2 linked regions of the Nothobranchius furzeri genome follow. The protein of the gene in region 2 purifies or fractionates together with the protein of the main gene of each other region. This does not show direct contact. Links are inferred from orthologs where the notes say so. Each region holds a gene or a part of one and is shown on either strand. Other genes may lie near its edges. The genes, in order: fkbp5 and mos.

Evidence for each region.
Region 1: the proteins of mos (region 2) and fkbp5 purify together in Homo sapiens (affinity purification with mass spectrometry; 3 studies listed by BioGRID and IntAct, counting the BioPlex papers as one, with this or other methods). This does not show direct contact. The link is inferred for Nothobranchius furzeri from reciprocal best matches to the Homo sapiens genes MOS and FKBP5.

The regions. Positions count from the first base shown.
Region 1 is NC_091743.1:66,795,360-66,799,186, forward strand, and holds part of fkbp5 (peptidyl-prolyl cis-trans isomerase FKBP5), read right to left. Parts: intron 3,241-3,827; coding exon 3,126-3,240; intron 3,036-3,125; coding exon 2,879-3,035; intron 2,132-2,878; coding exon 2,041-2,131; intron 1,864-2,040; coding exon 1,780-1,863; intron 1,696-1,779; coding exon 1,510-1,695; intron 1,426-1,509; coding exon 1,186-1,425; intron 36-1,185; coding exon 1-35. UniProt on the Homo sapiens protein: Immunophilin protein with PPIase and co-chaperone activities. Component of unligated steroid receptors heterocomplexes through interaction with heat-shock protein 90 (HSP90).
Region 2 is NC_091747.1:36,176,965-36,180,617, reverse strand, and holds mos (proto-oncogene serine/threonine-protein kinase mos), read right to left. Parts: upstream 2,288-3,653; 5' UTR 2,134-2,287; coding exon 1,105-2,133; 3' UTR 1,066-1,104; intron 961-1,065; 3' UTR 784-960; downstream 1-783.

The sequences.
Region 1 (3,827 bases), on a different chromosome or scaffold from region 2:
CCGTTCATGCTGCTCCTCCTCTTCGTCTTCCCCTTCTTTTCAGAGAATAAGATAAACAAATACAAAAAATCAAAAATAATTAAAGTTTTATGTTTCCAAAATTTTAGTTTCAAACACCTTTAATAGCATAAATATTCTGATAACATTTCTTATTGCTGCATTTTCACTTAAATGTTTAATCTTGCCACTAGAGGGCAGTATAATGTTTAACAAAGCATTCACAGAAAGGCTGGACAAATTCAGATTGAAATCAAAACAATTAAATATGTGTGTATATATATATATATATATATATATATATATATATATATATATATATATATATATATATATATATACATATAGTGCAGCCAGAATTTATACATTTCAGATCATTATTGTTATTTCAACTGGAAGCATGATTTAATAGACTAATCATAACTTTCTTTTTTTTCTTCTGCTTCTTCTTTTAAAGTAGTTAAAGGTGTGGGTCACTCGTTTAATCAATACATTTGTAGTGGTCTTTAGTAGGAATGAATGCCTTGTAAGTCGTTCTCATTGGGGGCAATGCTAATTTATTATCTCCACAAATAGCACAAGACTGTAGGAGTTCTGCTGTGTGGTGGAGTTGCTAATGCTGAAGTTAGCTTAAACTAGCCGAGACGTTCTCTGCTATTTCCTGGATGCTAAAGCAACAACAGCCTTCCATGTCGTGAGTCAAAGACGGAGTCCATGAATGCTAATTGATGTAATGTGAAGTAGATCTGTCAGGCTTTTCAAATCCTAACGTTTTACCATCTATTTTCTATCAGAAGCTACTGCACAAGATTAGTGTAGGAGACTATCTTCATGTTAAGCCTGCATGAAAAACTCAGAGTGATCGATTCTAATCAGAAATAATCGTTAAAAAATGGTTTTCGCTGTTCCACAACTTTAAATTTGAAATTAGCAGACCGAGTGTGAGCCCATCCAAGTAAGATTCTTTAAATGTTTGGTTTCGTTCAGTTTTAAAAATAAGTTATGAAAAATTATTTGAATTACAATTTTTAAACATCAGTTTCAACGGCAACACTCAGTCAGTGTTGGCTCCTATTACGTTAGGAGTCAGTTAAGACTTAAAAGGTTTTAAACGTTAGTGGGAAAGTGTAACTAAACAAAGGAAAGCAAAGGGAAGGGAAAAATATGTCTGAGTGAGTGTTTACAGACCTTTGAGTCACGCTCTGCAAATTTCTGGAACATGTTAGCATAGATCATTTTCTCCTGGGCTTGATGTTCCTTCATTTTGTTCTGGCATTTGGAAATTTGACCACGAGCTGCTCGATTCGACGGGTTGACTTCCAGCACTCTTTGAAAGTCCAACAAGGCTAGGTTGTACTCGTTGCGGAGGAGCCGGGCCTCCCCACGGCGATACAGAGCCTTCTCATTGCTCGCATCCTGTTCAATTACCTTAAACACACAAACACACAGTATGAGAAGGAACTCAGCTGCTGCAGGAGGTGGTGATCTAATCATCAGGGTCACGCAGCTCACCTTGTTACAGTTGTCCACCACTTGTGAGAACTCCTTTAGCCGAAGGAAACACAACGCTAAATTAAGATGAGCCGTCATAACGTAGTCCTGGATCTTCTTGTATTGCTCCATTCCAGAGCCACACTCCAACTCCAGCCAGGAAATGATGCGCTGGTACTGGATGACCGCCTGGTGGTACCGTCCTGCCTGATTATAGATTTTCAAAATAAGTTAGGATTATTTAGATGAGAAGCAGAATGATTCATTTGAACACAATCACAGATACGTTACCTTAACATACTGATTCCCTTTGCTTTTCACCGCAGCAGTCAATTCCAGCTTTTCACTCAAGTCCATTTCCCAGGACTCTTTAGCCTTTAAAATAAAACAGCAAACATTAATTTAGGGTTTTGATGTTTGTAGGTAGTAGGTTTGATATGTGCTTAAATGTGTCTAAAATGAGACTTGAACCCAAAATACCATGCATATGTTTTGTATTGTATCTGGTAAATAAAGGTTTTCTTTGTTCAATCAAAGAAAATGGAAACTCACCCTAGTGAAGTCTTTAAGAGTAACTTCATATGCAATTTCTTTGTCTGGTCCAATTTTGAACTCCGGTTTACCTTCGTTTCCAAAGCCATACCTGTAAAAAGAAAAGCATGTCAATAATGCTTAAGCATTAAAGGAGTCGATTACTTGTTTAATCAATACAACTAGCATAAATAACGAGCTTCGTCTGTTACGCTGCATGCTAGAAGAGTGGTGGACTTCAGGCATTTTAGCAAATGAGTCAGAGATGAGTCCTTTAACCTGTTTTACTGATGCACAAGAATCCACAGTTCTTATACAACACCTCTACCTCAGATTTAACCTGTAAATACTAAGTGGAAAATGTTGCAGTTTCACAAAAAAAAAAAATCTCGAAGTCCGAACAATAGCTGTGTTCTCGTTACTCCTGAACTCTTCAATCAAACATACTCTCTCCCTGGGAAGCATTAAGGAAAGCTTCAGATTTCCATTGAAGAAATCAAAAACTATATGCTTTCCTACCAATAGGCATTTTGTTGCATTCTTAAATTTTATTTTGCAGTACTTAAACCTTATTGGAAATGCAAAAGTGTTTCTTTTCACAAAATTTAGTTACTTCGATGAGAAAAAAAAACATATCAATTATTAATCTGCAAACAACTTTGTGACGTCGCTATAAAAAACATTTTCATTTTGCAGAAACAGCTGCTGAAATCCTTTGTAAATGGCATGAGATGAAAACAACAAACTAAAATTATTATTATTGTATGACAGATTCAAGCTGTGGTTAATGAAAGCCCCCTCAGAATGACTCATGCAAATGACACAGATGGCATTTTTGAAGGATTTGTAAGAAACTTACTTTGGTTTTAACTGAAGTAAACAGCACTCTCCTTTTTGCATCTTGTCCATAGCTCGGTCCACCCCCAAAGGAATGCCTTTATCTTCACCTTGACCAACAGTAAAGCTAACGTCTCGGCAGTCAAACAACCGGTCCCCACATCGTCCCTCCACGTGAACTGCAGGACAACAAGATGCAATTTAACCTCCGATTTATGTTTTATATCAAACCAAAACAATTATGCCTTTCAAACTAATTGTGTCACTACCATCGACATTTGCTCCATCGTTGGGGTTACTGTAACCGTCACCTTTGACCTTTATTCTCCTGATGATGCCGCCATCCTCTGACAGCACCTCTCCTTCAAAGTTAAGCAGCTCCATCTGTTAGAAAAACAAAAATTCTTTATAGATCATAAAGCTAAAGCAGAAAACAAAATATGTGCAGAATTCAACACATGTAGGAGGAAATAATAAAAAAGTGAGAGACGTGTTAATAAAAAATTGTGATATAATGATGTCTGCTGGAGAAGTGTGAAACTGGATGTGCATCGTTTATGCACTGAAACCCGACAGAATGTGTGCACGAACACAGCAAAAATCCTGCAAGTTACTTTCGTTATTTTTTCTTGCATTTTTTAGTTTAAATGAAATTTTAAAAGATGCTTATTTGACTGTTGCTGAATCTGTTATTTTTACTAATGCAAAATCAGATAAACAGTATTTTTGAGCATATCCTTGACAAAAAGAAGCAGGGCCTGCGGTGTTGCTAAGCTACTTCTTCCTAAGTATTGAAATGTCAAATTATCTCTAAATTTGCTGGACTGTGATAAAAGTTTGTATCCATTTTAAAATGTCACCACAACTTTCGAACTTCATCCCCAGAGCTGAGCACTCTTGCTGCTGTGGTTTTGCAAAAACAGATTAATTAGTCCAGTTTAGCTAATTTAGTTTTCTCTGAGAAAAATTAC
Region 2 (3,653 bases):
CACTAATCTAGACGCGGTGAGTCCTCCTGAGAGCATTCAAAAGGTCTTGATCCAAAGTTTGCCTCTTGCAGTCCCAGTGGGGTTTGATGGACAATGTGTGCGCTGTTTCAACTTTTGCATGCCTTTCTCGATGTTTGTTAACTAATCCTGTTGCAGCTGATCAGTGGTGGTTGTCATGTTTTTTCTTCTGTTTTTCAACCCAGCCACATTCCTAGCAGAGTCCAATGGACCCCACTTGTGTTTTTGTTATAGTTTTGAGGAGTGAGCACCACCTTACTCCTGCCACATGGAACCCCAAGGGATAAACCATCAACCCTGCTTAACCATCCTCTGTCGTGGAAGGGTCAGCCAATAGGACAGCAGGAGGGTTAAAGGTTAAACACACTAACATTTCTTGTTCTGGAAAGAGGAGGACAATGTGTCCCTCTGGCCCTCCCTGCTGCCAACATGTCCCAATGCACAGACATCAAGACAATATAGTGTCACTCACACACTACATGCGTTTTGTTTCCAACACCACTTGGAATACAGTGTGACCCCAAAGCGTGCACCAAGTTTTCAGTCTGATGTCACATGAAATGTGTCTATGGGCCAGCGGTGCCAGTGTCATTTTAGATTTTTTACTCTATATATCAACATCCCATAGAAACCTGTTTTATTGCTGATTTTGGTTAAAGAAAAAAATCCCATGAGATTTTTGATATGAACACATTTTAACCTCTTGAGTCCAAAATTTGGAAGACTGAAGCAGACAGCTGAAGTTTTATATGACATGGTCTGAACCCAGAGACTAAAGGCTGCTTTTATTAGGCTGTGAAGTTATTTTCTCTAGAGTATTTCATTTTATTCACATGTATAAAACAATCACATAAAATCATTCTTGCATTTAAATAGAAACCTATAGGGTGGGGGTGTATCCACAGCCCACGTGCACCCAGCAAGTCCACCACGAGCAGCAACCTGGAACCAAATTAAAACCAAACACGAAACCTTTAAAATGATTTTAATGAAATCAAACAAATCTTACAACATTTATTAAGCCAAGAATGAAAACTCAGAGTTCACCTGAGAGCCAGTGCTAGTCTGGGTTCTGTGGTTTGGACATTAAAACCCGCTGTGTGGACCCAGCTGCTGACCCAGATGTTCCAGCTGATCCAGCAGCTCAGAGGCGCTCGGTCTGAGGCGCGTGTCTGCGCTCCAGCAGCGTCCGAGCAGCGTTGCGCACAGCCGCCCCCAGTCGGACCTGAACACCGAGTGGCTCTGGACAGACGGGCGCAGACCGTGCGCCACCACCGAGTACATGATGTGCTGCCGGTCTCCGGTGTAGGGCGGCTCGCGGGTCAGCAGCTGCCACAATGTGATCCCGAACGAGAAGATGTCCACTTTGGAGGAGACCGGTTCTCCTCGGAGCAGCTCCGGGGCTCGGTGCGTGTAGGTTCCACACACGTGGCTCAAATAAGGACTGATGAGTTCGGGATCCCGGTCCAGTTTCAGGGAACAGCCGAAGTCCGCTATCTTGCACACTTCCGTCCGGGACACGAGCACGTTGGCCGGTTTGATGTCCAGGTGCACGACACCGTGGGAGTGCAGGAACCGCAACCCGTCCGCGATGTCCGCCGAGAACTTCAGAGAGCGGTTCGGCTCCAGCAGCTCCGAACTTCCGTAGATGATCTGCTGCAGGTTCCGGCTGCCCACGAACTCCATCAGGATGGTTCCGATGCTGTCCTCCACCTCAAAGTCTGCGGGCACGCACGTGGTGGCCGCGAGGACGCGCACGATGTTCTTGTGGGTCAGGTGCGCAGCGTTCAGTTCGGCCCAGAAACTTTGCCGAGACGCCAGCTGGTTCTTTGAGCTCTTCTTCACCTTCTTTAGAGCCACAGTCTCTCCCAGGTACTCCGCCTTATAGACGGAACCGAACCCACCAGAACCCACCGGCACCACGGAGCGCAGCTGGTCCCAGTGGATCACGGTGGACCAGAACCGGCTGGTGACTCTGCCGTGCGGCCGCTGAGCCGGGACCTGTAAGGTGGACCCACGTCCCGGTTGGGCCAGCGGGCTGCTGCAGGTTCCGATGTCCACGCACGGGTACAGGTCCTTGGGTAGGAGGCGCGTGACTGGGATGGGTGAAGGCATGCCGAGCGAGCGAACACAGGTGCGTCCACGTGCACAGGTGAGTTGCCGCGGTGCGTGACGGGATGCTGCAATGCATCATGGTTGGAACTCTTGTAGGTCCTCGAAGAGGGTCTAGAACCGCGGTCAGAACCGAACTGAGAGGAACCACAAATATTCCAGTTTTAAAAGGTTCTTGTTCTGATCATCAGACTGATGCATAAAAGCATGTCAAAGGTCATGAGCCCGACCTGCACGAGCTCTGGTGAAAACACCCAGGCTCAGTTCTTCACCTACAACAATAATAACAAAGAAACTGAGATATTCTGGAGGGTTCTACTGGAGAACATCTATTGAATTACCATCAATCAGATTAAACATCCATAAAACACCAGCCCACACACAGTCCTGTTGGTTCTGATCCAGAACCGAAACGTTTAGTGAAGAAGGAAGACCAGGAGAGAGTGTGTGTTAGATGTTTCTCTCTTTATTGAGTCTCACGACAGAATCAAAACACTGGAGTCTCATAGCAGCGAGGTGTGTGAGTGAAATCAGGTTATTCTGCAGAGCAATAAATAATCTGTTTCTTTGGATGAACTTCAAACAAAACAACAGCTGCAGCTTAATATCCATTTTATACAACCTCTACACATGTTTGTGATTTATATCGTCGATACGTAGAAAAATACAACAGTAGTTTGTGAAGTATAGAGAAAAGTTGAGATTTAAAAACCAACAGGCTTTGAAGCGGTTTCTGTCTGGGGAGGGGCGTTTCAGGCACGTCTGCAGAAGGACTTCAAAAGTCACAGTACAATAAAAAGACTTTATATAACTATATAAATATGGATGTATACAAACAGATGTAAGTATGTATTAGAAAGAACCGGAGCAAAGTACAAACATTGCATTTAAAGACCAGGAATGTCTGTAGCACCTTAAAGAGCTCCAGACTCACGTAGCAGCATTTCCAATCCTAATGCAGTGTTTCTAACCAACACATTCAGTAAGGTTGACCGGTACCGCTCAAGCTCACAGGCCTAGAACGGGTCTGGATCACCAGAACAGGGTTGGATTCAGTCCAGAGCTACAATCAGTTAGCATTACGGTTCTGAACATGTTCAGGAAACGTCTGTTAGTGAAAATGTCATTTGTTTCATTAGGTTCTAATGTGTAAAATGTCAGATGTGTGAGCAAAACCCACAGCGTTAAATAAATATAACGCTGTTGATCACCAGTGGGTGGGTTTACTCCAGGGGACCAATAGTTTTATTCAACCTAGAAAAATAAATGTTTAGATGCTTTTTCTCGTTAAAAAAAAACTCTTGATAAAGCAGAACTGTTGTGCAAGTAAAGCAAAAATTACACTCTGATAAGAAAACACTGCCAAAACGGTACCTGTAAAAATAAAACACTTTATATAGTATTTACATATAACTGTTCTCTACAATAGCTAAATATATCATCTATACATTTGTGGTAAGGGTTTAGAACAGAGGCTACTGGAGGAACTGAGGTGTTCTATTTACAAAAAGTGCTGCGATTTA